Oryctolagus cuniculus: one gene and its partners. The protein of the gene in region 2 purifies or fractionates together with the protein of the main gene of each other region. This does not show direct contact. Links are inferred from orthologs where the notes say so. Each region holds a gene or a part of one and is shown on either strand. Other genes may lie near its edges.

The links.
Region 1: the proteins of CTBP1 (region 2) and AMPD2 purify together in Homo sapiens (affinity purification with mass spectrometry; 3 studies listed by BioGRID and IntAct, with this or other methods). This does not show direct contact. The link is inferred for Oryctolagus cuniculus from reciprocal best matches to the Homo sapiens genes CTBP1 and AMPD2.
Region 3: the proteins of CTBP1 (region 2) and DYRK1A purify together in Homo sapiens (affinity purification with mass spectrometry; 4 studies listed by BioGRID and IntAct, with this or other methods). This does not show direct contact. The link is inferred for Oryctolagus cuniculus from reciprocal best matches to the Homo sapiens genes CTBP1 and DYRK1A.
Region 4: the proteins of CTBP1 (region 2) and TRPS1 purify together in Homo sapiens (affinity purification with mass spectrometry; 3 studies listed by BioGRID and IntAct, counting the BioPlex papers as one, with this or other methods). This does not show direct contact. The link is inferred for Oryctolagus cuniculus from reciprocal best matches to the Homo sapiens genes CTBP1 and TRPS1.
Region 5: the proteins of CTBP1 (region 2) and EHMT2 purify together in Homo sapiens (affinity purification with mass spectrometry; 4 studies listed by BioGRID and IntAct, counting the BioPlex papers as one, with this or other methods). This does not show direct contact. The link is inferred for Oryctolagus cuniculus from reciprocal best matches to the Homo sapiens genes CTBP1 and EHMT2.
Region 6: the proteins of CTBP1 (region 2) and FOXP1 purify together in Homo sapiens (affinity purification with western blotting; 3 studies listed by BioGRID and IntAct, with this or other methods). This does not show direct contact. The link is inferred for Oryctolagus cuniculus from reciprocal best matches to the Homo sapiens genes CTBP1 and FOXP1.
Region 7: the proteins of CTBP1 (region 2) and EHMT1 purify together in Homo sapiens (affinity purification with mass spectrometry; 3 studies listed by BioGRID and IntAct, counting the BioPlex papers as one, with this or other methods). This does not show direct contact. The link is inferred for Oryctolagus cuniculus from reciprocal best matches to the Homo sapiens genes CTBP1 and EHMT1.

Annotation. Positions count from the first base shown.
Region 1 is NC_091438.1:60,791,596-60,795,889, forward strand, and holds the start of AMPD2 (AMP deaminase 2), read right to left. Parts: upstream 2,801-4,294; 5' UTR 2,614-2,800; coding exon 2,613-2,613; intron 2,597-2,612; exon of another isoform or gene 2,489-2,596; coding exon 2,342-2,488; intron 1,676-2,341; exon of another isoform or gene 1,538-1,675; coding exon of another isoform or gene 1,373-1,537; intron 1-1,372. UniProt on the Homo sapiens protein: AMP deaminase plays a critical role in energy metabolism. Catalyzes the deamination of AMP to IMP and plays an important role in the purine nucleotide cycle.
Region 2 is NC_091433.1:411,761-415,260, forward strand, and holds part of CTBP1 (C-terminal-binding protein 1), read right to left. Parts: intron 2,931-3,500; coding exon 2,786-2,930; intron 2,642-2,785; coding exon 2,435-2,641; intron 1-2,434. UniProt on the Homo sapiens protein: Corepressor targeting diverse transcription regulators such as GLIS2 or BCL6. Has dehydrogenase activity. Involved in controlling the equilibrium between tubular and stacked structures in the Golgi complex.
Region 3 is NC_091435.1:7,445,262-7,448,761, reverse strand, and holds part of DYRK1A (dual specificity tyrosine-phosphorylation-regulated kinase 1A), read left to right. Parts: intron 1-506; coding exon 507-631; intron 632-3,500. UniProt on the Homo sapiens protein: Dual-specificity kinase which possesses both serine/threonine and tyrosine kinase activities. Exhibits a substrate preference for proline at position P+1 and arginine at position P-3.
Region 4 is NC_091437.1:140,958,932-140,962,431, forward strand, and holds part of TRPS1 (zinc finger transcription factor Trps1), read right to left. Parts: intron 1,557-3,500; coding exon 495-1,556; 3' UTR 1-494. UniProt on the Homo sapiens protein: Transcriptional repressor. Binds specifically to GATA sequences and represses expression of GATA-regulated genes at selected sites and stages in vertebrate development. Regulates chondrocyte proliferation and differentiation.
Region 5 is NC_091436.1:138,643,127-138,647,071, reverse strand, and holds the start of EHMT2 (histone-lysine N-methyltransferase EHMT2), read right to left. Parts: upstream 2,801-3,945; 5' UTR 2,758-2,800; coding exon 2,475-2,757; intron 2,380-2,474; coding exon 2,161-2,379; intron 2,066-2,160; coding exon 1,812-2,065; intron 1-1,811. UniProt on the Homo sapiens protein: Histone methyltransferase that specifically mono- and dimethylates 'Lys-9' of histone H3 (H3K9me1 and H3K9me2, respectively) in euchromatin.
Region 6 is NC_091441.1:78,271,887-78,275,386, reverse strand, and holds part of FOXP1 (forkhead box protein P1), read right to left. Parts: intron 3,384-3,500; coding exon 3,217-3,383; intron 1-3,216. UniProt on the Homo sapiens protein: Transcriptional repressor. Can act with CTBP1 to synergistically repress transcription but CTPBP1 is not essential. Plays an important role in the specification and differentiation of lung epithelium.
Region 7 is NC_091432.1:237,927,273-237,930,772, forward strand, and holds part of EHMT1 (histone-lysine N-methyltransferase EHMT1), read left to right. Parts: intron 1-3,196; coding exon 3,197-3,372; intron 3,373-3,479; coding exon 3,480-3,500. UniProt on the Homo sapiens protein: Histone methyltransferase that specifically mono- and dimethylates 'Lys-9' of histone H3 (H3K9me1 and H3K9me2, respectively) in euchromatin.

The DNA of each region.
Region 1 (4,294 bases), on a different chromosome or scaffold from region 2:
CTGAGGACTCTGATCCCTCACACAGGGCCCCAGCTGACTCCTAATCTCCTGCAAGAGGCTGGTCTGTGTTGGCTCCTCACCAGCTGCCGCGAAGGCCCTAACCTCAGCCTGGCCCCCAGCCGGCGGCCCGGGGCCTCCACAGCAGCGTTGGGAGTTACAAGCCAGGTTCTAGCGGCCACAGCCATCCCGCCAGTCTGCTGGTCGTTGAAGAGAGCTCTGAAGGGTTCACCGGAGATGACACCCAGGCACCCAGGCCAAGCTCCAAGGCTCAGCTGCCTACTATGGAGGAGGTCTCTGGCCGCAGCACCACAGATACACACACCCACATTCACACAGGGGAGTCAAGCAGAAGCCAGATGGGGCTGCCCCCAGCCACTCCCACCAACTCCAACATCCTGGCCACCAAGATTGCCTCAGTAGGCAGGGAGGTGCCCAAGTCTGTGACCCACAAGTATCAGACACCCACCGTCTGACCACCCACGAAAGTCTCCTGTTCAGCAACAGGGCAACCAGGACAGACCGAGCCCTAGGACACACGAAAGGCCTGGACCTCGGCAGAGACCCCCAGGGCAGTAGAGACCTCAGACCAGACAACTTCAATAGCATAAGACAACACAGCAGGAAGGGGACTGAGCTATGGGTAGGAAGCCAGGGGCTGGGAGGGTGACCTGGTCAGCCAGGCAGGGGAGGGTCCTTCCTCAGCCACGGGGGGGGGGGGGGGGGGCCTGGGGCGTCGCAGGCGGCAGGCTGACTGCTCAGCAAGCACAGACCTGGGCAGCTGAGCCCCCGGGAGGCAGGTACTGCCGCACCACACCGCCTGCCCCAATGCTGCAGAGACGCCTACAGCCTGAGAGCTCAACCAAGAGGTGCAGGGGCCATGCGGTACCCCCAAGGACAGCCCATCCCCTTCAGGGACTCACAACCCACCCCAGGAATGGGCCAGCGGCAGAGGCAGGGGAGCCCCCATTCAGACCCCCAGGAAGGGCAGCCTCCAAGTGGGGTCCTGCAAAGAGAAACTACCCTCAGGGGAAGCCTGAGCCTGCCGGTCAAGGCCCCCACGCCTCCACTCCATGCACACACACTTCCCACATGCACACACCAACACGTGTGCACACACACACCTCTCGTTGCACCCACTCCTTGTTACGGGGAGCAGCATCACTGACACAGAAACCTGGCACCCCCCCAGCTCGCCTGCCTCCCCACTGCACTTCCCAAGCCAGCCATCGCTGGGACTGAGGGCAAGGCACCAGCAGCAGCAGCAGGGTGCCAGGGAAGGCGGGTCCCCCCACCCCCGGGCGGGGTGGGGGGGTTCAGGAGCCATCCGCGGTGGAGGTGAGGCAGAGCCAGTACCTGAGGACAGGAAGCCCGCACTCACCTGGAACGGCGGCAGCCGAGGCCTGCAGACTGCCCCGCTTCTTAAAGGGGTACTTGGCCTTGGGCTTGCCGGGGCCAGATGGATAGGATGCCATGGCTGGGGCCACGGCGACAGCGGGGGAGTCTGAGCCGCACCGGCTGGGGCCTGGCTCTGCCACATCCAACCCCTTCCTCCGCCCCGCCCCCAGCGGGAGTGACTGATGCAGGAAGCAGCGCCCCGCAGGCGGAAGAGGCCCTGGCCACGATTTCTGATGTTGTCTAGGCAACGTCGGCGAGTGGGGCCTCCATCCCGGCCCCTTAGCCCTCGAGTGACGCGACTGACGGCGGCCGGATCTGGGGGGCGGGGTGGAGACTACCAGATCGGGGAGGGCCGGCCTCCAGCTCGCCACTAACCGCACCCACACCCCGCCACCCCCCACCCCCGCTCAGGAAACCTCCCCCCGCCCCGGCCAGGGCTCCAAAGTCCAGGCTGGCTGGTCCAGCCAGCCGGAGAGCAAAAGACCGCCGTAAAGAGGAATCCGGCCGAGCTCGCCTAGTTCAGAACCCACTCCTCGCAGGGCAAGGCGGGGCAGGCGCGCTCCGTCCAAAACCCGGCGCCTCGAGGCGAGGCTCTGCCCCCTCTGCTCCTCCACCTGACCCCCGGCTCCAGGGGCAGCCCAGCTCACGGAGGAGGGAGTGGAACGGAGAATCCCAGCCCAGGAGGGAGGGGCCTGCCTTGGGAAAATTCCACGGACCGGCGGAAGCTACCTCCCAGGAAGCCAGGGGCTCTTCTGGGGTCTGGGGAAGGGACGCCCCGCCACCCCACCCCCAGCCGCTTCTGACTTTCCCTTCCACACTCGCTCCGCTTCCCCAGCCTCTTCCCGAGGTCCTGCAGATTGTGCCAAGACCCCCACACTCTTGTCACCCTGGCCACAGCACCTCTGAGTCCAGAGACCCTCGCCCCAACATACGCGCACACACTTACCCGAGGCCATGCTGCCTGAATCCCGAGGGGCACTGGGGGAGCCGCCCGCGAGGGTCTGCACAGCCGGGAAGCCCGGGTCGTGAGGGAGGGGAGAGGGGCTGGGCCCCAGACCCCGGCCAAGTCGCTCCAAAGGGCCGTGACCTGGCACTGGGTTGGGGAAAGTAGGGCAGTTTTTCAAAATTTCCAGCCGGCTGCGGGCGAACCGCAGCCGACCTCGGCCGACCGAGTGGCCTCGGGCAACCCCGGCGTCCCGACCCCCCAGCCAACGCACTGGAGAAGCGGGCAGGCCACGTGCTCCCCCAGCCAGCAGGACCCGGAACTCGTCCGGGTTTCTCGCAACACGCCTTGGGTATGTGGCGCCGGACTCCCGTGGCTGGCCAGAGGGGAACCGCGCAACAGGTGCGACCCCACCCGAACCCCAGCGGCGCCGCGCCAGTCTCCGTGGCCCCAGGCCCCGCGGCCCCGCCCCCGGGCTGGCCCCGCCCCGCCCCTTTTCCCGGGCGCCACGTGGGCTGCGAACTCCGCGGTGGGCCTGGCCCGGCGCCGGGTGGGGGGCGAGCTGTGCGCGCCAGCTTCCTCCTCCGTAAGGCGGGGGACGGAGCGGTGACAGCGCCGCGCTCTGGGGGTAAGCGGCGCTGGGCCCAGCGGGGGCCTAGGAAAGGGTAGCCGTGGTTAGCGGCTCGGGAGTCACTTGAAACCGAAGTGCGGCCCCTCGGGCGACGGCGTCCTCACCTGGGCCGCCCGTTCGGCTCGGGCGAGGGTGTGTCCTCCGATTCCATCTTCCCCCTCCCACGCTAACTTCTGTATTTGCCGGTTAGGCTCCGTAGCCCGAATTCCTGGGTTGGAATTCAGGACTTCGATCTCCTCCCTGGCTACCTAACTGCTTCGGTTTCTTGTGCTTTATATGCTGGTTGTTTAAGGTGAATGAGCTAACATAAGATAAGTGTGTATAACTGTGCCGGCCTGTAGTTACCCCTCAGTGTTCCTGCATCATCACTTCATTGGTTTGGCCTTGGACTTGGTTCCCAAGTGACACGCTCACGAGTTGATTCACCTTGCAGCCCATAAATTAGTGGAGCTGAGCTGTCTTGGGCACCGCAGGCACGCTGTCCGGCCGGCATCCTCACTGGGGAGGGGCACAGGAAGTCCCTAAGCGCTCACTGAAAGTCATTGTTATCCTGCCCCTGTGGGAGCCCTTTGCCCCCCACACCCAGCTGTGCTAACGCAGTCTGTCGGGTCCCTCCCAGTTCTCACCTCCCACGCAGCCAAGTTCCTTCCCAAACTCTGCCTCCCTCTGCCCTCCCCACACTGGATTCTGGACCCTGAACCCCATCCTCTGCCTGCACCTGGTGTCGCCTCCACTGATCCCTTGTCTCTTGCCCCACGCTTGGAACAAATTTAAACTCCATGGCTTTCGTAAACGTAGGGAGGAAATGCCTTCACCTTACAAAGAAAAAGAGAACCAGGAGATACCATGTTCACCAATCAAAACGGCAAAGCCTAAGAAAAACATATCAATGCAGGCAAGGGGATAGTGAAATGGGACACAGACACACACACACAGACTACCGGAGGCTATAAACATTGCTATTTGGTAGTAGATAATCAAGAATCTCATAAAGGTTCTTAAATCTGACACAGCTCTCCACCTCCAGGAATTTAAAAAAAAAAAAAAAACATTTATTTATTTGAAAGGCAAAGTGACTGAGAGAGGGAGAGACAGAAAGGTCTCCATAGTTCACCCCTCAAATGGCAACCATGGACAGAGCTAGGCCAGGCTGAAGCTGGGAGCTAGGAACTGCATCCTGGTCTTCCACATGGGTGGCAGGGATCCAAGCAGTTGGGCCATCTTCAGCTGCCCTCCCAGGCGCATTAAGGAGCTGGATCAGATGTGGAGCAGCCAGGATATGGGATGCCAATGTTGCTGGCTGAGCTGGACCCACTGTGCCATAA
Region 2 (3,500 bases):
GCCACCCAGAGCAGGAGCGTTCCGGAACCCACGTCTCTCACAGACACACAGGTGCAGCAACCTCCAGGATGAGTTGCAAGCAGGGGCCGTCTGCACGGGGGTGGAGACCCCAACTCACAAAACGTGGGCCAGGGTCCCAGGAGCCGCTGAGGGGTCTGGGGCATGGTAACAAATACCCAGGGGGCTGGCGCTGTGGCAGAGCGGGTAAAACTGCCGCCTGCAGGGCCGGCATTCCATATGGGCGCCGGTTCCAGTCCCGGCTGCTCCACTTCCAACCCAGCTCCTACCATGGCCTGGGAAAGCAGTGGAAGGTGGCTCAAGTCCTTGGGCCCCTGCACCCACGTGGGAGACCCGGAAGAAGCTCCTGGCTCCTAGCTTTGAATCGGCACAGCTCCGGCTGTTGAGGTCATCTGGGGAGTGAACCAGCGGATGGAAGACCTCTCTCTCTCTCTCTGCCTCTCCTCTCTCTGTGTAACTCTGACTTTCAAATAAATACATAAAACTTAAAAAAAAAAAAAAAAAAAAAGAAAGAAAGAAAGAAATCCTGGGGCCCCCACAGCAGGGCAGGGGTGGGGTCTCAGACATTTGGAAAAGTGCACACGGCACGGCCAGGAGAGGCCTCCCCCGTGAAGCCCCAGCCATGGTTCTAGAACTTTCTCTGCAGCTATGGGTAAAGGACCGGTGGGGCGGGGCGCAGGGCACTGCCAGTGCTGGGGGCGGGGGCGGGGGTGGGGGCAGGAGAGGGCCCCAGCGCTGAGCCCTTCACCTACAGGGCCTGGACGGAGCTGCTGGTCCTGGCTCCAGCCAAGCCCCTGCTGTGCGGGCATCTGGGGGGTGAACGGCAGATGGGGCTTGCTCTGTCACTCTCCCGTCTGTGTCTGTCACTGTCTCGGTCACGCTCGCTCTGTCTCTGTCACTCTCACTCTGCCTGTCTCTCCCTCACACACACACACACACACACACACACACACACACACAGGGGTGCAGTCACGCAGTGGGGTCCCCTTCACCAGCAGGAGGTCCTGAGTGACACCTGAAGCCGCTGCCCGACTGGGGAACACACAGGGTGCCGAGGTCACGACCCCACCTCAGACCCGCATGGGGTGCAGAGGTGCCCCGTGCCAGCAGCAGCAGGGAGACAGCTGCTCCACTTGGCCAGCAGTGGCCATCACATGGGTCACCCGTGGAACCCACAGAGGGGCACACACAGGGGCGTGGGCAGGGCTCAGGTCTGCCCAGTGGGGCTGCGGCACTCGGGGGCGTCCCCGGACACAGAACCTCAGCCCTCGGCTCCCAGAAGGCCCCAGGCTCAGGAGAACCACACCGAGGGCCACAGGCTCAGGCCACACTGGACACTGGCCGCCAGAGCAGGGCACCCCAGATGCCGAGACCACGGCAGGAGCCCCGCAGGCCACAGCTGCCCGTGCCACAGGCCGTGTGTCCACAGCAAACCTCCCACAGCCCAGCTTCTGCCCGTTCTGCAAATCGCGTGTGCCAGGGACCCGGAGGACGCCGCCAGTAGGGGCAGGCCCGGACAGCCACAGCACCCACCCACCCCCAGGCAATACAGCCCGTACCCCTGGTCAGCGCAATGCCCGGCCGAGAACCAGGCTTGGGGCCACAGCCAGGGCCAGCGCCTTCCAGAGAAAGGCCTGAGGCCCCGCGAGACGGCTTCTGGGGCTCACACGGGACCCCCTCTCCCAGCCCCGGCTCCCTGCACGACACTTCCGGGGCCACCCAGACTCACACGTGTGCCTCTCTAGGCCATGCTGGGGCCTGGCGCCCACACGTGACAAGGAAGCGGACGGGACAGAGACCACCCCCAGGGGCACAGGCTCTGGGCACCCTCACCTGATGGCAGCACCCACCTGGCTGCACATCTGGTGCCTGTGCCCATGCAACGCCCACGTGTTCCCCACGTGTGACAACTCTCAGGCCTGTGTGCCCGATAGCCGTGTCCCTGTGCTCGTATCAGCCACGTGTGTGCCCATGACACCCACGTGATGCCTGTGACACAGGCGTGGTGCCCAGGTATATCATGCCTGTGATACCCATGTGATGCCCACATATGGCCATCTCGTCTGCATATGATACCCGTGTGATGCCTTGATGTTCATGGGACACCCATGTCCCTGTGTCATGACACCCATGTGATACCCACGTGTGCCTGTCATTTGTGTGACGCACGTGACATTCCTGTGATGTTCTTGTGCCCGTGTCACGTGATGCCCGTTAGAACTGTTGACATGAGTGTGACATCCATGTGTGTATGTGATGTGATAGCTGCTGACACCTGTGTGTGACGTCCATGTTGTGTGTGTGACACCCGTGACGGCTGCTGACATCTGCGTGACGTCTGTGTATGTGCGTGTGTGATGCCCACGGCGCCCCCCCGGGCTGCCCCCCATCCTTTGCCGAGCCAGCGGCCACGCACCCAGTCCGATGATGCCCAGGGTCTCCCCGCGGATCCTCGCGGCCCCCGAGGCCACCTCCCGGATCTGCTCCACGCTCTGCACCCGCGTGCCCTCCCGCAGCGCCTGGTGCAGCCACGTCGTGCGCCGGTACAGATTGAGGACGTGGCACATGGTGGAGTCCGCCGTCTCCTCCACGGCCGCGGCGGGCACGTTGCACACGGCGATGCCTGTGGGGACACAGGGTCAGCCTGGCCCGTGACAGGCGTGGGACTGACTCGGGGGCCACACGGCAGTCAGCCCAGCCCCAGGCTGCGGACTCCTGTGGGAGCCCCACGCGGGGCGGGGCCTGGGCGGCAGGGACGGGCACCTACCCAAGTCCCCGGCTGACTTGATGTCGATGTTGTCGAAGCCGCTGCCAATGCGGACGATGACGCGCAGGGCCTTGAACTTCTCCAGGTCCTCCCTGGTCAGCGTGATGGTGTGGTACATGAGGGCGCCCACGGCCTCGTTCAGCACCTGTGGGGGAGGGGAAGGGGACAGAGCGTGGGGTACACGAGGGCGCCCACGGCCTCGTCAGCACCTGTGGCGGGGGGCAGAGCGTGGGGTACAGCAGGGCCCCCAGCCCTGAGCACCGTGGGGGGCCACAGCCACGGCAAAGGGGGGCTCTGAGGAGCCGTGGCCCAAGCCTGAGCCCAGACAGCAGTGGAGCAGGAACGGGGCCACTGGCCGTGACCCCCAGCAGGGGTGAGCCCTGAAACACACACGAGTCCCCAGTGACAAACCCACCCAGAAACGCTGTCCCCACGGCCCACAGCACGCGCGTGGTCCTGGGACGTGACACGGGAGTCCAGGGCGCACACGCTGACCCTGGGCACAGCCGGGGCCCTGACAAGGCTCCATTCCCACGACCCAGCTGGCAGGGTGGCCCGGCCTCAGCTGTGCAGGCCATCGCCCCGTGCTCGGCCGGGGTGGACACGGCCGCGGGAGCACAGGCTGCGGCCTGGTGGGGGCGCACGTCCCACACCCTACACACACCCCACATGCGGCACACACATCCCACACGCTGCACATGTCACACGTAACACA
Region 3 (3,500 bases), on a different chromosome or scaffold from region 2:
TATTTTATTTATTTGAAAGAATTACAGAGTGATCCATCTGCTGGTTCACTCCTTTAATGGCCACAACAGCTGGACTGGGCCAGATCAAAACTAGGAGCCTGGAACTCCATCCGGGTCTCCCTCATGCGTGGCCGGGGTCCAGGTACCTGGGCCATCTTATGCTGCTTTCCCAGGTGCGTTAGCAGGGAATTGGATTGGAAATGTAGCAGCTGGGACTGGAAGTGGCTCTCCTGTATGATGCTAGTGTTGCAGCTAACTACTTAACATGCTGTGCCACAATGCTGGCCCTGGCTCAGTGGTTGATTTGGGAGAACTTAGAGAAACTGATGACTTTACGATATACTTTAAAGTTAATATTTAAATTTTTTAATTATAAAAAATTTTTGATTGGCAGTCACTGTACCTATTTGTGTAGTGTGATAATTTGATACATGTATACTATATGCACTGCTCAAGTGTGCTTTGAGTTTTAAAGTCACAAGTTGCTTTGTGTCGTGGTGTTGAAGGTGGATCATCGGGGACGAGCAACAGTGGGCGAGCCAGGTCGGATCCAACACATCAGCACCGGCACAGCGGGGGCCACTTCACGGCCGCCGTCCAGGCCATGGACTGCGAGACACACAGTCCCCAGGTAAGCTCTCACGTCGCCCGCGTTGGACGCAGAGGCTCTAGAATGACTCCCTCATGTGCCCCTGTTTGTCTTGTGGAATCTGGCTCTTGCAGCGCCTCTCCTGTGAAGGGCTGGCTGGTGCTGTTGGGTGTGCACCTGTTGTCCCGCATGCTTTCTTCCTGTGTTCACCTATTTACTGTCTCAGCGACGTCTGAGACTGCCTGGGTTAGGTGACTTTCCCTGATCCCCATCTTAACTACTACCCCTCTGCCTTCCAGGGCCTGGTACTCGTCATACTCCTGGATTCTGAGTCTGTGTGATAAGATTTTAGCCCATGTTTTTGTCTATGCTTTTTAAACCTTTTAAAGAAGTAATGTTTAAAATTGGGGTGAGGAGGCAGATGGTGATGGTGAAAATATTTAAATACTCCTGTAAAGTAGTAAGTTAGTTCCCCCTGAGCCTTGCTCTGTGACATGGGAGGCCAGCCTGTAGTTCCGGTCACTGCCCACTCCCCAGACTCGGGCTGAAAGTGCTGGCACAGCCGGGAGGCTCCCAGGACGCCTCCAGTCACCATCTCTCTTCCTGCCTCTTAGCAGTCCTTGCTCCCCTTGCCTGGAGAGGGAGCTCTGCCTCCGTGTGTGCACTCGACCACATTTCTCCCTCACCCTCCCCAGCGCTGGGGCGGGCCTCCTGCTCCCCTGTCGCCCGGGCTTTCTTGGGACTGTGCTCTTGGTCACCCTCTCTACCCTGTTCTTGGCCTCTCCCTCTTATTTCCTGTTGATCAACATTTGATGAAACCCGGTCTCTGCCATCTTGAGCAGAACCTCTGTCTGACTGCCTGTCTCTCTGACTCTGCCTTCGGCCACTGTCGTCTCCGTCTCCTCACCGGCTAAGGTCTGCCACATTAGTGTCCTGCCTCCTGCCCCACTGCCACCCTTGAGTCCAGTGGACGCCTAATGCCATCTAATGTTTTGCTTCCTGGCCATGTTGGATGCTGTTGACTTCTCCCTGTCCTCTGAGGGCCACCTCTGGTTTCCATGGCAGAATGTCCACTACCCCCACTTCTCCGCCCTCTGCTTCACTGACCCGGCTTGTAGCATCTCCTCTCCTGTTCCCCTGGACACCTGGCGTTTCTGGAGGTCCAGCCTGTGACCCGCCCCTTCTGATGACTGCAGTCACCACCACGTCTGTGATTCCTAATCTGCTTCTGGCCGAGATTTCTTCCCTGAGCCCCAGTGCCTTTATTTCTGAGTTTTTAAAGATTTATGTATCTTCATTTTACTTGAAAGGCAGAGAGACAATGAGACATGACAAGAGCTGTTCCACTCGCTGGTTCACTCCCCAAATGCCTGCAGTGGCCGGAGCAGAGCCAGGCCAAAGCCAGGTACTTGGGCCATCTTATGTTAGCACTCCATCTGGGTCTCAGACTCACGTGGGTGGTAGGCCCTGAGTGTTTGGCTTTTCTGCCTCTCATACCCTCTCTAGCATTCTGCTGAGTCGTCGTACACCCAGTTCCGTTGGCCTGTACCACCACTCTCACCCCTGCAGCCGAGTGAGGCTGACCGAGCAGACTGAGCTCACTGTTCTCTCTGCGTTGAACCACTCTTCGCCTTCCCCTTGCACCTAAAATGCAGCTCAGACCTCTTGCCAAGGTGCCCAGGAGTCCACGCCCTGGGCCCATGCAGGCTGCTCCTCCTCCTTCCCACTGCACTCACACTGCTGCTTGTGTGCCGCGTGTCACGGCTCTTCCTCTGCTGCCTGGGCCAGGTCTCGGCCTGGGTGCTCTGTGCTGCTCAGTCTTCTGCTCTAGGTCTTGACTTAGCATCGCTCCTGCCAGGGACTCCCCTGATTCTCCATCCTTCCCCCTTCTCAGTACAGCGAAGACGGAGACACCAGGAGCACCCACCCGTGTGCCTCCCACTCCTTCATTGCTCAGTGTCTGGACGGTTGATGCAGTCATGGTGAAAGGCAGTCAGTTTTATGGAGGACTCCATGAAGTTGGCCTTTGTTCCATGTCCTCTAGCCACCCAACTCTAATAAAAACTAACATTAATTAGGGTTTTGTAGCCATTTTTGGTATCTCTTATGCATACACCAGCAAGTATGATTGTCACCCAGTTTCTGTACACAAATAGTAACACACCATACACTCCTTTTAACATCTTAGTTTGTCCACATTTGATAATATATTTTGGAGCTCTTTTTTATTTTTTTAAATATTTATGTAATTATTTGAAGGAGGGAGTTCTTCCATCTGCTGGTTCAGATGCCTGCAATGGTCAGGGCCAGGCCAGGCCAGGCGAAAACCAGGAGTTTAATCTGGGTGTCCCACGTGGGTGGCAGGGGCCTAAGGACTTGGGCTATTTTCTAGTGCTTGCGCAGGTGCAGTAGCAGGGAGCTGGATTGGAAATGGAACAGCCAGGACTCGAGCTGGCGCCCGTGAGGGTCTGGCGCCCTGGAGCCCTTCTTTGTCAGTAAGAGACAGGTGCTGCAGCCTTCAGAGGGCTGGGGGCGGAGTTGCAGGGTTCTACACTGTTTAGATATTCTCTAGGTCGTGCTGCTGTTTCCCTGTTACTGAATATTTATTTCATTTCCAATATTTTTTTACTATTATAAATAATGGTGCAATCATCCAGAGTATCTCAGTTCTGGGAGACTCAAAAAATTCATGGAAACTGCCTGCCCCGAGAAAAGCATGCATGGATTTCAAAAATCATCTTTTCATTTCGTTTTCCATGAACACAAAAGACCTCTCCATAGAGGCACACGTGTAAGTGCCCTGTGGTGGGGATTGCCGGGTCAGGGGTAGTGTCAGCTCCAGGAGTCGATGCCGAGTTGCCTCCCACGTGATCGCCCATTCAGCGACTGGAACGGCTGCAGCGTTTAACGT
Region 4 (3,500 bases), on a different chromosome or scaffold from region 2:
TGCCTTGGAGATCTGACTTCTCCTCATCTGCCTAGGATTTCATGACACTTCTAAATTTAGGCAACAATCTGTGGATCTTTGAACCAATGGGCCAATGGCCAGCCCAATACTGCTTTACTTGCATCATGTGTAAATTCTTTCTAATTCTAGCCAGGTGTTACCTTTCTTTATAAACACAGCAATTATCGTCTGGTGGTACTTCTTACAGATCACTTCCCCAGTGCACATCAGTCAAGATGGTTTTAACTTAGTAGGTTTTAAAAAAAAATGATTGTTTGCCATCTTCCATTCTTTCTCACTGACCATTTGCCTCACTTTTTAGTCTCGGTAACCTACTCATTGAAAGAAAGAATAATAAAAAGAAGGGAATTTCATGTTGGATAAGGCAGGCTCTATGAAGTATTTCTTTTAATAGGTCTTCATAAGACATTACAAGCTATTGAATTCCCATCAAGAAAACCTATTTCTATGTAATTGTGCTAAGTGCTAAGGTTTTACTCTTTAGGTTTTCCGTTTTTTTCTGCTTGTGCATTGTTCCTATGCAGGCCCCTCTGGATATGTGTTGTGAAGTCATATTTGTCCGTGCAAAGATGCTGGCATATGCTGCACTGGAAAGGCCCACTGTCACCATGGCAACTCATATGCAAAGCATACATCACTTCATCCAGAAAAACAATGCCACAGTGCACACACTTCGTTGAAAGTTCATCTTGAGTACTTCTATCAACTTTCTCTGTTTTTACTACATTCAAGGGACCTTCATTTTTTACATTTGGTGGTGCCTTCGTTTTCTCCTTGGAGGCACCGTTTGCAGTTGGCCCAGGTCTGGAATGCTTGATCGCCAAATCTAGAGGAATGTCATTGTCTGATCCAACAGCTGAAAAATGAGGAGGCAGATTGAAGGTGGGATAAGGCACATAGTTTTGGCAAGGATTTGGTAGGCCAGGCACATGACTCAAGTAGTGCGGATTCCCAGGAACGGAGAGCTTATATTTACTCCAGAACCGCAGCCAATCAGCTTCACTCTGGAAGTCATTATGTACAAAGGGAAGTCCAAAAAGTGGGTACTGGTACTTTTCAATAGGGCTGCCTGGTGGTGAATAATTCGGGTGCTTCGCAGGTCTCATATACTTTTCTATGGGACTGCCTCTCTCAGAACTTCCTTTCCCTTCAGATACGGATGAGCTATTTCCTGGATCTCCAGTACTTTCCTGAGGACTTTTTATCTGAATGTGCAAAGGTTGCATCCTTTTGTGAATATCCAGAGTTTGGCCGACCAGGACTGGCTGCTGAGCAGAATGGCTTTTAGTCAATGAACCCGGGGCTTCGTATTTGCTTAGGCTCGGGAGCGGAATTTCTCTCTGGTGACTTTCAGTTACATGATCTTCTGACCTCCTCTCTAACGGGCTCCCGTTGACCTGCTCCTCACTGCTACCCCTCTGCTGTTTGTTGAGCTGCTCAGCCTGAAGTGCCTCGGGGTTAAGGCGCTTTCTTGTTCTTCTCCTAATGATCTGCTCACCGTTGTTTTGTTTAATGATGTTTAAAGGCCTGGGAGTCTGCAGAGAACACACACACAATACATAAAAGGAGAACATTAAAAAAATGCATTTAAGTGCATTAAAAATTCCTCACAAAAATAAAGCAAGCTTAAGTTCAAAGCAGGGCTAGACTTTATGCTATAGATTTGTTAAATCTCCTCCTCTGCCCTAAGCAGGATCAGGGGAAATCACCGAAGTGCACTATTTTAGCCTAATTAAATCATGTCCAGTTTTATGGGGGGAAGAAGGGACTGAAAACTTTAATCTACTTGGAGACAGCCGTTCCAAACTCAACGGATTTGAAGATGGCATCATTTATAGAAAGGTATGTGAAGACACTGACTTTTCTGGAATATTTTCCATTTTTGTGTTCTGCACTAACGTAATAACAAAGTAACTCAGGAGATACGTATTGATATCAACTGGAAAACTGTGCACTGCTATGGACTGAGTTGCACCCTCCAAAATGCAGGTGTTGAAGACCTAACCCTGAATGTGACTGTGTTTTGTGATAAGATCTTCAGAGAAGACATTAAGGTTAAAGAAGGTTATAAAGGTAGAGTCCTAATCCAATGGGAAGAGGGGAAGAGAGAGGTATCTCTCCCCACCACGGGAGGACACAGCAAGAAGGCAGCTCAGTGAGAAAGAGCAACCTCCTGGACACCCAGTCTCCTGACCCGTGAGAAAATAAGCATTGCTACTGTTCTAAGCAGACCAATCTGTGTCACTTTGTCAAGGCAGCCTAAGCGGACTGGTACAAGGATACTGCTGTGAGTTCACAGGAAATAGAATGAAAAGACAAGTTTACTTTGGTGAAAAAATTTTTGAAGTCCATGCATATTTTTCTCACAACACACCTTTCCCATAAACTCCCTGAAGACCTCTTTTACATGCATCCTTCCAAATGATTAGAAATGTGGTTATAAAATATGAATTTTGTGAGGAAAGAGATCAGATAATCAAAATCGTATCAGAAGGTTGTGTTTTCTCTCATTTTTGTCTTCTTAAATGATATTTTTATATTCACTAGGGAAGATTCTACTTGTTAATAGGCAGAGCATTAGTTTTCTGTTGAAAGTCTAAATTCATTTGTGGCCTTGGTTCAAATACTCAATCTGTCACTCTACTCTTTACCTAAAATGCATGCTGACTTTTACTCAGCTTAAGTGTTTTATTTAGCTTTACGTTCCTGGCAACTATGTGTGTGTTCAACAGGTGTTTCTATAACATGACTAAAATCAACAGATAAGACTAAAAAAAAACTTTACTTGCAGTGAAAGTTCTAACTTGATTTATAAAATTAAAATAAGTTTAATGAATCAAAACATATTTACAGAATAAAAATTCAGGATAAATTTAAATAGGCTGCTGAAATCAGAAAATAATATTTTCCTTTTTTAAAAGATTTATTTATTTATTTGAAAGGCAGAATTATAGAGAGAGAAGTGTGGGGAGCAACTCAGACTAGACTAAGTTACTGGAATTAAGATTTATTCTATGCATCTGCTCTCCCACAATATGGCGCTGGGAGAGAAGAAAACAGCTTCTACACAGCTGCCTCCAGTTCAGCCAATAAACTGTAGGACTTGCTCCTGATTGGAGGAGAGCAGTGTACTCGGCGTGTGGGCAGCCGAGTTAGGATTGGCGGAGGAGGACTAAAAAGGAGGAGAGAGACGGCATGCACCAGGAACATCTAAGGGGAACATCTAAGGGGAACACGTGTGCAGCCCCTGAGAGAGCCGGCCGGCGGTGTGCCGCTCCCCTGTGGAAGTGGGGAATGTGGCAGGGGGAACCGCCCTTCCACGGAGGTGGAAGGGACGGCAGCCAACCCGGGGAGGGCCGAGCAGACAAAAGAACAGTGCAGGGTCCTGTGTCGTTCCTCCACGAAGAGGGGGAGCGACAAGAAGGAGAAACAGAGATCTTCCATCTTCTGGCTCACTTCTCAAATGGCTGCAATGACAA
Region 5 (3,945 bases), on a different chromosome or scaffold from region 2:
GACCTGGGAGGCAGCAGCTGATGGCTCAAGGACTTGGGCCACTGCCACCCACATGGGAGACCAGGATGGAGTACCAGGCTCATGGCATTGGCCTGGTCCAGCCTGGCATTTAGGCAGTAAATAAGCAGATGGAAGACTTCTCTGTCTCTCTCCCTTTCAAATAAAATCAAAAGAAAATTTTCAAGTATATTTCAGAATAAAAGATTTTGAAATCCATACATAGTGTTTTCATAATATGCATTTCCCACAAACTGTGAAGTAAGCTTCTAAGTCCTCAAACTCAGAAACAAAACGGTTGTCAGGGGCTTGGGAGAGAATAGGGGAGTTATTAATTTTTTAAAAGATTTATTATTTTTGAAAAGCATAAATAGAGAGAAGGAGGGAGGGAGAGAGAGAGAAAGAGAGAGAGGGGGAGAAGAGAATCTCCATCCTTTTCCATCCTCTGGTTCACTGCCCAAATGGCTGCAATGGCCAGGGCTGTGCCAGGCCAAATCCAGGTCTCCCACGTGGGTGCAGGGGCCCAAGAACTTGAAGACCGCTGCTTTCCTAGGCGCATTAGCAGGGAGCTGGATCAGAAGTAGAAAAGCTGGTTCCCATATGGGATGCCAGTACTGTAGATAGCCACAGTGCTGGCACTGGGAATTACTGCTTAATGGGCATAGCTTTTAGTTTTATAAGCTGAAAATTATGTAGAGTGCTGGTTGTACAACATTATGAATATACTTAATACCACAGAAGTAGTTTAGATGGCAAACTTTACATTATACCTATTCTATCATGAGAAAAGAGGCTTCACTGAGGCTACCCAAACCACACCCAGAACACAATACCAAGAGCCTTAACACTCTGCAGCTCTGCAGAAGATGGCCCAAGTGCTCGGGCCCCTGCCACCCACGGGGGAGACCTGGATGGAGGTTCAGGCTCCTGGCTTCTGCCCGGTCCAGCCACGGCCACGGCACTGTCTGGAGTTAACTAGCAGATGGAAGATCTCTGCCTTCCGAATAGTAAACAAATCTTGCTTCTGGGATGCTGGAGCCTTCATCATTTCCCTCTGCCAACATTTCTGTGGCCTCCATCTCCTTCCTAGTAGGGATTCTCAGTGAAAACTTTACATACAAAACTGCGGCAGTTTTGGGGCCGGTGCTGTGGTGCAGGGGGTTAAACTGCTGCCTGTGTTGCTGGCATCCCATACAGTCCTCGGTTCCAAGTCCTGGATGCACCACTGCCAATCCAGCTCCCTGCTAACGTGTCTGGGAAAACAGTGGAGGACTGCCCAAGTGCTTGGGCCCCTGAACCCACGGGGGAGACCTGGAGGAACTTCCTGGCTCCTGGCTCTGGTCTGGCCCAGCCCTGGCCATTGCGGCCATTTGGGAGTGAACCAATGGATGGAAGACCTTTCTCTCCCTCCCTCTTCCTCTCTTGGTTAACTCAGACTTTCAAATAAATAAATAAATCTTAGAACAACAAAAATTAGGGCAGTTTCAAAGAAGGAAAGAAAAATTCCCTCAGGGCTTGCTTTGAGGTAGAAAGGAAGGGTGGTTAGAAATTCCTTTACATGGTCATTATCATAAGAGTAAATACGACATTAGCTATTTAATTAACTCTTTAACATCTGTATTCTACTCTCACCACTCCTCCCCCGAGAATGCAAACTCCAGAGGGGGTTGGGGAGCAGTCTGTGCTCAGGCTCATCTGAATATCAGACACAAAGTAGCCCCCTCATAAACACCAGGTGTGGAAGGAAGAGACTAGGCCTAATGCTAAATTGAAAAAAGACCAGCTTTCTCCCAGTCCTACTCCGGGATCCTCACCTGTCCATTTCCTGGTTTGGCCATGGTTTTCCGGGCTCGGTGGACCTTGGGCTGCCCCTCTGGGCTGGTGGTGGCTGGAGAGGGCTCAGGTCCCGCTGCTGCAGCTCCCTGGGCCCCCGGCATACTCAGCAGCCTCATAGCCAAGCTCTGCACAGATGGGGGGGACTTCCCCGCCCCTGTCATGGACATCTTGGCACGGCTCGCACAGGCACCCCCTTTGCTGGGAGACGAGGGGAACGACTTTGTGGCATGGCCTGGGAGACAAAGAGGCAGGCAGAGGACAGGGTGAGAAGGCAGGCAGGGTTAGACGGTTCCCCCACCCTACAGCCCAGGCTCCCCAGCCTCTCACCCAGCAGGACTCGGCCCCCAGGCAGGTCCCCATCTCCCTCCAGGCTCTCAGGTTCGTCCCCAAGGAGAGGTGTAGCCCCTACAGGGGTGTCAGCCCCCTCATCGCCCACGGTGACAGTGACAGAGGCCGGAGAGGAGGGGCCAGCAGGCTCCAGGGAGTCGGGACTGGCCTTGGGCACGGTCTCCTCGCTACGAGGAGTGTCTCCCAGGGAGCCGTGAACTGTGGAGGAAGAGAAAAAGTTCAGGGCTAAGGGTTCCGGGCCCCTGCGGCAGGAGAGCCCCGGGGCCAACTCAGCCGGCTCCTGCTGCACTCACCTCTCTCGGTGGCTCCTCGCGGCTCCTGGTCCAGCAGCAGCGCCCCCATCTCAGCGGGGGCCTCCCCCTGGGAGGGGAGACAAGGGACAGGGGGTGGGCTGGTCAGTCTGGGAGAGAGCTGGGGGGCCCAGGAAGCCTGGGCCCTGGGCAGAGAGAGGAGGCTCCGGGGCCTACCTCTCCCTCTATGGGGCGCCCCTCTTCCTCGGCCTCGGCTGCCGGGAGGGGCCGCACGACCCCTCCCCCGGGCCCGCATCAACCCCCTCCCTCTCGGTAGACCCCGCATCTCTGGGGCCGAGAGGAGAGGAGGGGGAGGGGGCGGGGCCTCAGCGCCCCGGCCCCGCCCCCTCCTCCCGGCTGCACGCGCCGCTCCCCCTTTGTCCCCCAGGCCGCGGGGACCCCGGGCACCAACCCCTCCAGCGCCCGCTGCCCCCCAGCCCGGTGGACGGCCCCTCGTGCCCCTCGCGCGCGCTCCTGGGGCCCCGGCACCCGCCGCCCACTCGGGGGCAGCCGGCGGCTGCATGCGCGCCTCCGTGCCCACTCCCCCCACCTCCCACCCCCTGGTCCCCTCATCCGCCCCCGGTGCTGGCCCCCCGGTTTGCTGCAAGTCCCGCCCGGGCCCCCCGGCCCCGTTGCACCCCCGGAGCATTGCACGGGCGCGCGCTTCCCCCGGGCGCGCGCGCGGGCATGCACCCGCCTCTCCCCCTCCCCTTCCGCACCTCGGCGGCCGCCGCCGCTGCAGCTCCCGCCGCCGCCGCCATCGCCGCTTGCGCGGGGGGCTGAGCCGGCGCGCGGCCGCCCCGGATCACGTGGGCGAGGGAGGGCGGCCGGGGAGGGGCCTTAAAGGAGCCGCGGCACGCAGCCGGGCCATTTTCCCCTGAGAGCGGCTTTGGCGATGGCAGTGGCTGTCCTTACACTGGGGCCTGCATAGAATTCCTGTCGTTCCCGGCGTCGGCCCTGCAGAGGGCCAAGGACGAGGGCCGCCCGGGTTCAAATGTAGCTTCCCCATCCCCACCTCGGGTTAGGTAACAAGCCGGGTGTCCGAGCCTCCGGACGCAACGGCGGCGGCTGTGTTTGTGTCTGGCCCGCTGATCCTTCCCCCGCATCTAGCTTTTCTATTTCTGGTTCACCACAGGGAAGGCTCTGCCTCGGGTCGAGGCCTCGCCTTCATAAACGAGCACGGAAAGGAGCGATAGGGACGCACAGGAGACACCGTGACTATTGGCTTCTCCTGGAGCGGCGTCCCCTTTTGAAACCCTGGGTCTCAGTGCCTCCTCTAGGCAGCCACGCGCAGTGGAAATCCAGGTAAGCCCAGCCGCCCGACAGTCACTGGCTCGTGACCTTGCATAAGGAACCTTTTTTTTTTTTTGGCCACACGTCACAAGCACAGGTAGGCACCTTACTCCGTGGGTTATGTTGCCCAGCTGAGTTTCGGCATGAATGATATACACCATAGACATACAGCCCTGGCAGA
Region 6 (3,500 bases), on a different chromosome or scaffold from region 2:
AGTAGACCCCTAATTGAGATCAGATTTTTGCTTTTGCCTTTCTCTTCCCATAGTATGTCTTACATTGTAGATAAAGCAGGGATTTTTTTTTTTTTTTTTGCAGCCTTGACAGTTATAATTTTAACAGTGATAGGGGATTCCTCTGTGTATTAATATTAGGCACTTTTCATTCATCCTTTTACTGTTAACATAAAGACCTTTTTATCCATTAATCTTTCTGTTTGTTGATTTACCTCTTTTGGATAAATGTCTAAGAATGGAATTGCTGGGGAAAAGGCCAAAACATCTTTATGGTTCTTATGATATTTATTGCAATTATTAATTTCCAAAGTGGCTGTACCTTTGTCTACTCAATCTCATCAGGACACCTAGTCATATTTAAAAAATATTTTGTTGCTTAGGTATAAGATAAATTGAGGTTAATATAAATTGTGTTTCTTGAACTAATGACAATGGTGAACATTTCAGGATCATTGTAGAGAACTGTTACTTCATAATAGCCATTGGGTAAGAATTTTTATTTTACTTAGCCACGTATTGAGGTTCAAATTTCATTTTCTATAGCAGCATTTTCTCTTCACTTTTCAAACTATCTGAAATTTTTTTTTTCATACTTAGAAACCACAATCTGATGGCATAAGATAAAATCAAGCTTTGTGGGGAGATAGGAGAAGAAAGAAGTCATAATGTTAAGTTCTTGTTCTATAGTTTTGGACTTTGACAAATGTTTTGCTAAGCTAAGAAAACATTAGATACATGGAAGGCTCCCACAGAACACAGTTCACAACATCAGAGAAATACTCCCCCTTCCTCCCAATACTGGCAGTGAAAATTCACAATTACGTACTATCCCAAAGACACAGAGTGCTAGCTCTAACCCTGTGGATCCCCAGCAAATACTAATGACTAGATCTGTGTGACAACCTGCCAACACAATCATGTTAGCTATTAATTTCAATTTCAGGACATTTCTCCAGACCCGCAGATATCTGAGTGGCAAATTTAGTGACAGAAGCCTATAGTGATTCAGGGGGTGAGCAGAATAGATTTCCATGTCAGGTAAGTTTCAGCTAAGACACAGACTCCGTAGGCTGCTGTGCTTCACCTACGGCACCTTCTTCCCCTGCAGACCCCTCCCCACCCCTGCTTGCTTTCTCTAGCACCTGCCTCCAAAGGCCTAACCAGTGAGTAGCTGCAAAGCCACACATTGCCCTTTCCTCCCAACTGAGTAATTCCTTGGTTTAGCCACTCTGGGAAGACAAGAGTTTTTAAATAAAGTTGACTAGTGTTTCAGGAGACAAATGCAGTAGAGTGTATTAGAGGGTCATGGATAAAGCAAGAATGAAGAGTTGAACTGCTGCAACGGAGCTATTAGCTGGGCTGCCATCCTAACAAGGTCCTGTAAGCCCTGCTGCAAAGTTCGATGGGAACCCTTGAACACTGTTTGCATCACATCAGGGTAATGCATTTTGGATAAGTATATGGTCAAAAAGACTACCGGTGTCATAGGCACAGGGAGTCTGCTGTTCACATAGTTACACTTAGCAAACTGAGCAACGCATTTTGACATCTTCATACAGTTTCTTTTAAAAATTATGATGACTGCTGTAAAACATTGTTTTAACTCCAGCATCACGGAAAACAAAGTTGTTATACAAATTAACTTTATAGTGATTTTATTTTGCACAGCAAAATTAGCATCCCCTTACACTGTTGCCTGGGAGGCTTGTATTTAAACATTGTCTCTTTTTAAACAGCCAACCTTTGTGTCATATAACAAGAACATACATCAGCTAACCCTCAGAGGTATACAGATTATGAGAACTAGTATCTTTCCCATTCGGCAACTTTAGACATTTTGCTTTAATGAGTTTTTATGGAATTTGCTTATATGCCAGTTTACATTTGCTCTGAACTTCTTTAATATCTGAGTAAATACTTCTGTTCTGAGAATGATTTAAAGATGAATCTGATTGTGATAACAATAAAGTCGGGGAGACAGCAGGTTGCTTTAGAAAGGATGAAACACAGCCGCAGCAGTGTGAAAGATAAACACAATCTGAAAATGTTGTGAAGGAAATGCTAAGAGACTGTTCATATCAATTAAAAATGATTATTGCCATGTTTCAAAGATCCTTTTCAAAGCACGTTGGGCATGAAATTCAAATGCTGGAAAATCAAATTTCAGATTCCCCTATACCCTCCAATTATGTTGGCAGATAGCATTTTTTCTTTGTCACTAGATGCCAGTTCATTCTGTTCCTAATTGCTACAGGTCATATTTTCCATCGCATCACTCACATCTTAAAATAAGATGTTGATCAGTAATTCAGGAAGAATGGTAGACAAGAGGCCCGTTTGAGGAGCTGACACTACTGGAAATGCTGAACTGGCTTACTCCCTTAAAGTGGGCAAGAGTTTCCCGGAAACTGACTACAAGGAAGAATGTCCTTCCACACCACCCCCTGCAAATCAAATCATTTGGGATAATAAGGTTTCTTTTCTCTTTTGAAGCTCTTCCTGGGCCCCAGGGGCATCTCGGCCTTGTGGCTGGGCCGTTCCTGTGGTTTGCCTGATCCCGGTGCCATTCCCATTCGGCGTGGGCAACCGCTGCCCATCACTTCATTCAGTTGTATGTGCACTCGTTACACTGCCGTCTGCTGCTGTAATGCTCCTATTAATTTTCCTTTTGATATTTTAAGAGCAATCTATAAATCACGTCACCTTTCATTTGTGCCATCATTAATGCTTGGTAATAATGCTGCAGTCCTGCATTCTTGGTGAGGCTTATCACATAGAAAAGTAAACACCTCTACTCCCTGCTAGATTCAGCATGCCTGAAAGTTGAACTAATTACAAACTTTTGCATAGAGATACAAACTGGTTTTAGGAGAAAAAGGCAGTGTGGCTTAAATAATGGCCTGAGATGTAAAACAGGACAGGGCGGCAATAGTGCATTTATCTCCCGCTTTACTGTTGTATGCACTTTTAGGGCAGGATAAAACTATTTTTATGAGAAAGTTAGCAGATTGCCCTTTTTCATATGTACACTGACCTAAACATTTCTTTGGAAGCACAACCTTTTACCTGGATCCTAGGAAATCAGAAATTATAAAACAAGCCTATGCAGAGGTCACAGGAAGGCTTGTGCACACATAAAACAAAGCGGCTGGGTGGGGCCTGGCAGCCAAGGCTTTTCGAGTGGACAGTACTCACACGGCTTGCATAGGGGATCTGCCCGGACTGCTGTCGCTCTCGTTGCTGTTGGTATGCTCCATTGCCCCATTCAGTTCTTCCCGTATTGCGCTGGCTAAATTGCCCAGAGTGGGATTTCCCATGGAAGCAGTAGTGTAGAGAGGTATACTATTCTCAGCCATCGAAGCCTGCCGTCAAACCAAAGGAAAACTTGTGAACACACAGGGTTATGCAATAGAAGGAAACTGAAATCTAGGCATATTTAACATCAGAGCACTGAAGCAAATCCAAGTTTCTAAGAGGTG
Region 7 (3,500 bases), on a different chromosome or scaffold from region 2:
TCCATCTAGAAGTCCTGAGAAGTCTGCTTGTTCTCTCTGAGCCTAGGGTTATTCTGCCGTGTCAGCGCTGGAGAGCACCCCAGTAGAGATGTGCTCCAGGTGGGTCCATCCCCACAGGCCACTCCTGGGCCTGCCACCAGGTTAGACTCCTGTCCTGTGTGCAGGAATGCTGGGTGGCCGGCTCCTATCCCAAGCCCTCAGCCACAAGACCAGTGTGGCTCACCTGCCCAGGTGCTGCTGCTGCTGCGGTCACCCCCTTACCACTGTGATGTTGGCTGGGCTGTGACCACTGCAGTGGCCTGGAGGCAGGGACCCTGAGGATCTGCTCATCAGCCTGGCTCTGGGTCCCAAAACAGTTGTGTGATTCCTTACTGTGTCTGCCCATGCTTGCAGGCAGCTGATAAAGGCAACTCCTTAGCCACTTAGGCAGTGGATGCAGGGCCCACTGGGTCCCACAGGTACCAGGCTCTGTGCAGACCAGGCCTGCAAGAGTCTAGTAGTGCTCCTCACCACCAGTTTGGTCTCGGCAGGACACAGGTCTCGCCTGATACTGGTGTGTGTGCCCAGCTCTGTCCTCAGGATCTGCCCAGTGCTGGGATTTAACAGCCCAGCACTGTGTCACAGACACTACCCCATGCCCTGACCTCCCAGACTGCAGGCTGGCCGCACGTGGACCCCCAGAGTCATAGGTTCCTGACCTGGGGTGTGTGTGTGTGTGGCCGGCCCTGTACGTGGGCGTCTCTACAGGGGGAGGAGTCACCAGAGCAGAGCCTCTCATTCGGTCACCATCTTTATTCCTCTGAGAATGACCTTTTAAAATTATTGTTATTTATTTATTTGTGAGGCAGACAGACAAGATGGAAAGAGAGAAAGGGCTTCTGTCCATTGGCTCACTCCACAGATGTCTACAGCAGTCAGGACTGGGCCAGGCTGATGATGCAGGAGCTCCCATGTGGGTGGCAGAGGTGCAGTGGCCTGAGCCGTCACCACCACCACGCCAGACGCACGCCAGACGCCTGCCATCAGCATCAGACATGTGGCAGCCGCGCCGTTGGGCTTTTCAGAACATGCTGTTAGAGTTCTCCAGTGCGCTGGGGGTAATAGTTTCAATTACATTTGTATCTTTCATGGTGGAAAACTCCGATCAGTAGTGCCACTGCCGCTCCTGAGAAGTGGGTACCTCCTGCTGCAGGCTGCTGGGACTCAGTCAGTTACAGCTGGGCTAAGCTTTGGCGTGCAGTTAGCTTTATTTGTTTTAGTTCATTTCAAAATTGAAGATTTAGGAATTTTTTATTTTTTGATTATGCAAAGTATTTCTTTGCTTTAAAGGTAAAATCTAGAAAGTTCCGAGTCAGAGAAGCCTTGCTCTGCGTGTTCTGTTTTCTGTTAGCTGTGTTCTCAGTCTGCTCAGGCTGCTGCAACAGACACCAGACGCTCTTCTCATAGCTCAGGCCGGAAGTCTGCGAGCAAGGGACCGTCACGTGTGGTGTCCGGTGAGGGCCCCTCGCTTGCTCATGGCCAGCGCCTCCTCTGTGTAGGGGAGAAGCACTGAGCCCACTCACCTCCCGGGGGCTCCTCCTCCCGACACCTTCAGCTTGAGGGATGGGGATTCCCACACAGGCACGGGATCACGGTTCTGCCGTCTGTGCAGCAGGAAGAACGTGGCGCAGGCGGCGCTCCTCCCCCTTCTCTGCACGTGTTCCCCTCGGCTTCCCGCCTCTGCGAGTGCGCCGCACACGGCGTCGTGCTGTGGACGTGGGACCCCTCGGCTTCCCGCCTCTGCGAGCGCTCCGCGCACGGCGTCGTGCTGTGGACGTGGGACCCCTCGGCTTCCCGCCTCTGCGAGCGCGCCGCACATGGCGTCGTGCTGTGGACGTGGGACCCCTCGGAGTCTGCTTGGGACTGTGAGGTTGATCTCGGCCGTGGCTGCTGCTGCCAGTGCCTCCCAGGGAACAGCCTGGCGGAGCTGCGCTGTTACCACCAGAGGCAGTCCTCAGGCTCCGTCCCTCCGTGGTCCAGGCATGCAGCTCACGGCCACGCTCAGCACAGGATTTCCATTTGACTCCTCTGCTGCTGTTTGTCAGCAGAGAACGAGCTCTGTGGGGGCTCTCCGAGGGCAGCCTTGGCAGCCTCGGGGTCCGTCAGTCACAGCCAGCTCTGCCGATTTTCCCATCTCTTTGTCCGTGTCTTGCTGTCTAGTGTGTCAGCTCATCTGGGTTGTTAATGATAACTTGGGAGAATTCTGATTTTCTCTAGAGTGTGATCCATTTCTTTGTTTATTGGTGCGACTGCAGCTGCCTCTCCGTGAGCCACGCTGGTCTCTGCCTGTTGTCAGTCTCCCTTGGGGTCTTCCCCTCCATTAGGGTCTCCTCCCTCCTCACACTCAGTGCAGCTGCTCTCACACAGACCCTGATGCTGCCCACCCCGTGGTCCTTCCCCAGGGGTCATGCTCTGGCCAGTCAGGCCTCCGTCCACAGTCTCTCAGTGCAGATCCCAGAGTCCTTGTCTTCAGGAGAGAGGGTTGGACACCTGGTCCCACACCACTGAGTCACAAGGTCCAAGTGGGATGACCCCGTCTGATCTCGGTAGCCATTGCTGAGTCTGTCGTCCTAGGGCGTCGACGGGTGTTTGTCCAGGCCTGCAGCCGACACCTGAAAGCCCTGCTGTGAGGGCTTAGAGACTGGCCTCTGTGCAGGCTGCACTGTGCTGGTTAGGGCTTTCAGCGTCCCTTGGCCTGTGAGGACGTGCTGGCCGTGGCTCACGTCCATGAGGACATGACGGTGCGTTCCAGGCGTGGTCTCTGTGCAGGCCTTGTCCCCCGTGGGACTTGGGTTCTGGAACAGTGCTCTTCTGTCTCTGACCTCACAGCCCGTGAGGGGTTTGCTGGTAGGCCAAAGCTGTGCACGTCAGGCTGGGGGCACTGCTGTGGGGTGCAGGGCTCGGGGATGGTGTCCCATCTGCTGTGTCTCCTCCTGTCCTGCCGGCAAGTCCTGCATCTCCCGACTCTGCCCCGTGCCCTCGCCACCACGGGCGCTGTGTGTGTGGTCGCAGCCCTGGGCCTGCTCGTGTGGCTCGTGTACACCACCTGTCTCAGGTTGTTTCCCGTGACTGGGACCTCACAGATGACCCTGCCTTGCTGAGCCCATAGTGGACGGAAGGCCAGGGAAGACGCGTGCTGTCCTCTCTCGCCCTCCAGGATGGGGAGGTGTACTGCATCGACGCGCGGTTCTACGGCAATGTCAGCAGGTTCATCAACCACCACTGCGAGCCCAACCTGGTGCCGGTGCGTGTGTTCATGTCCCACCAGGACCTGCGCTTCCCCAGGGTCGCCTTCTTCAGCACCCGCCTGATTGAGGCCGGAGAGCAGCTGGGGTATGTATGCCTGTGCGGGCCATCCCACACCGCCCCGCGTGCCCGCGGGGGCCTTGCCCTTGCCATGTCCAGCGTGTGGTGAGTGCTGAGCCCTGCTCCCCTCCCAGGTTCGACTACGGAGAGCGCTT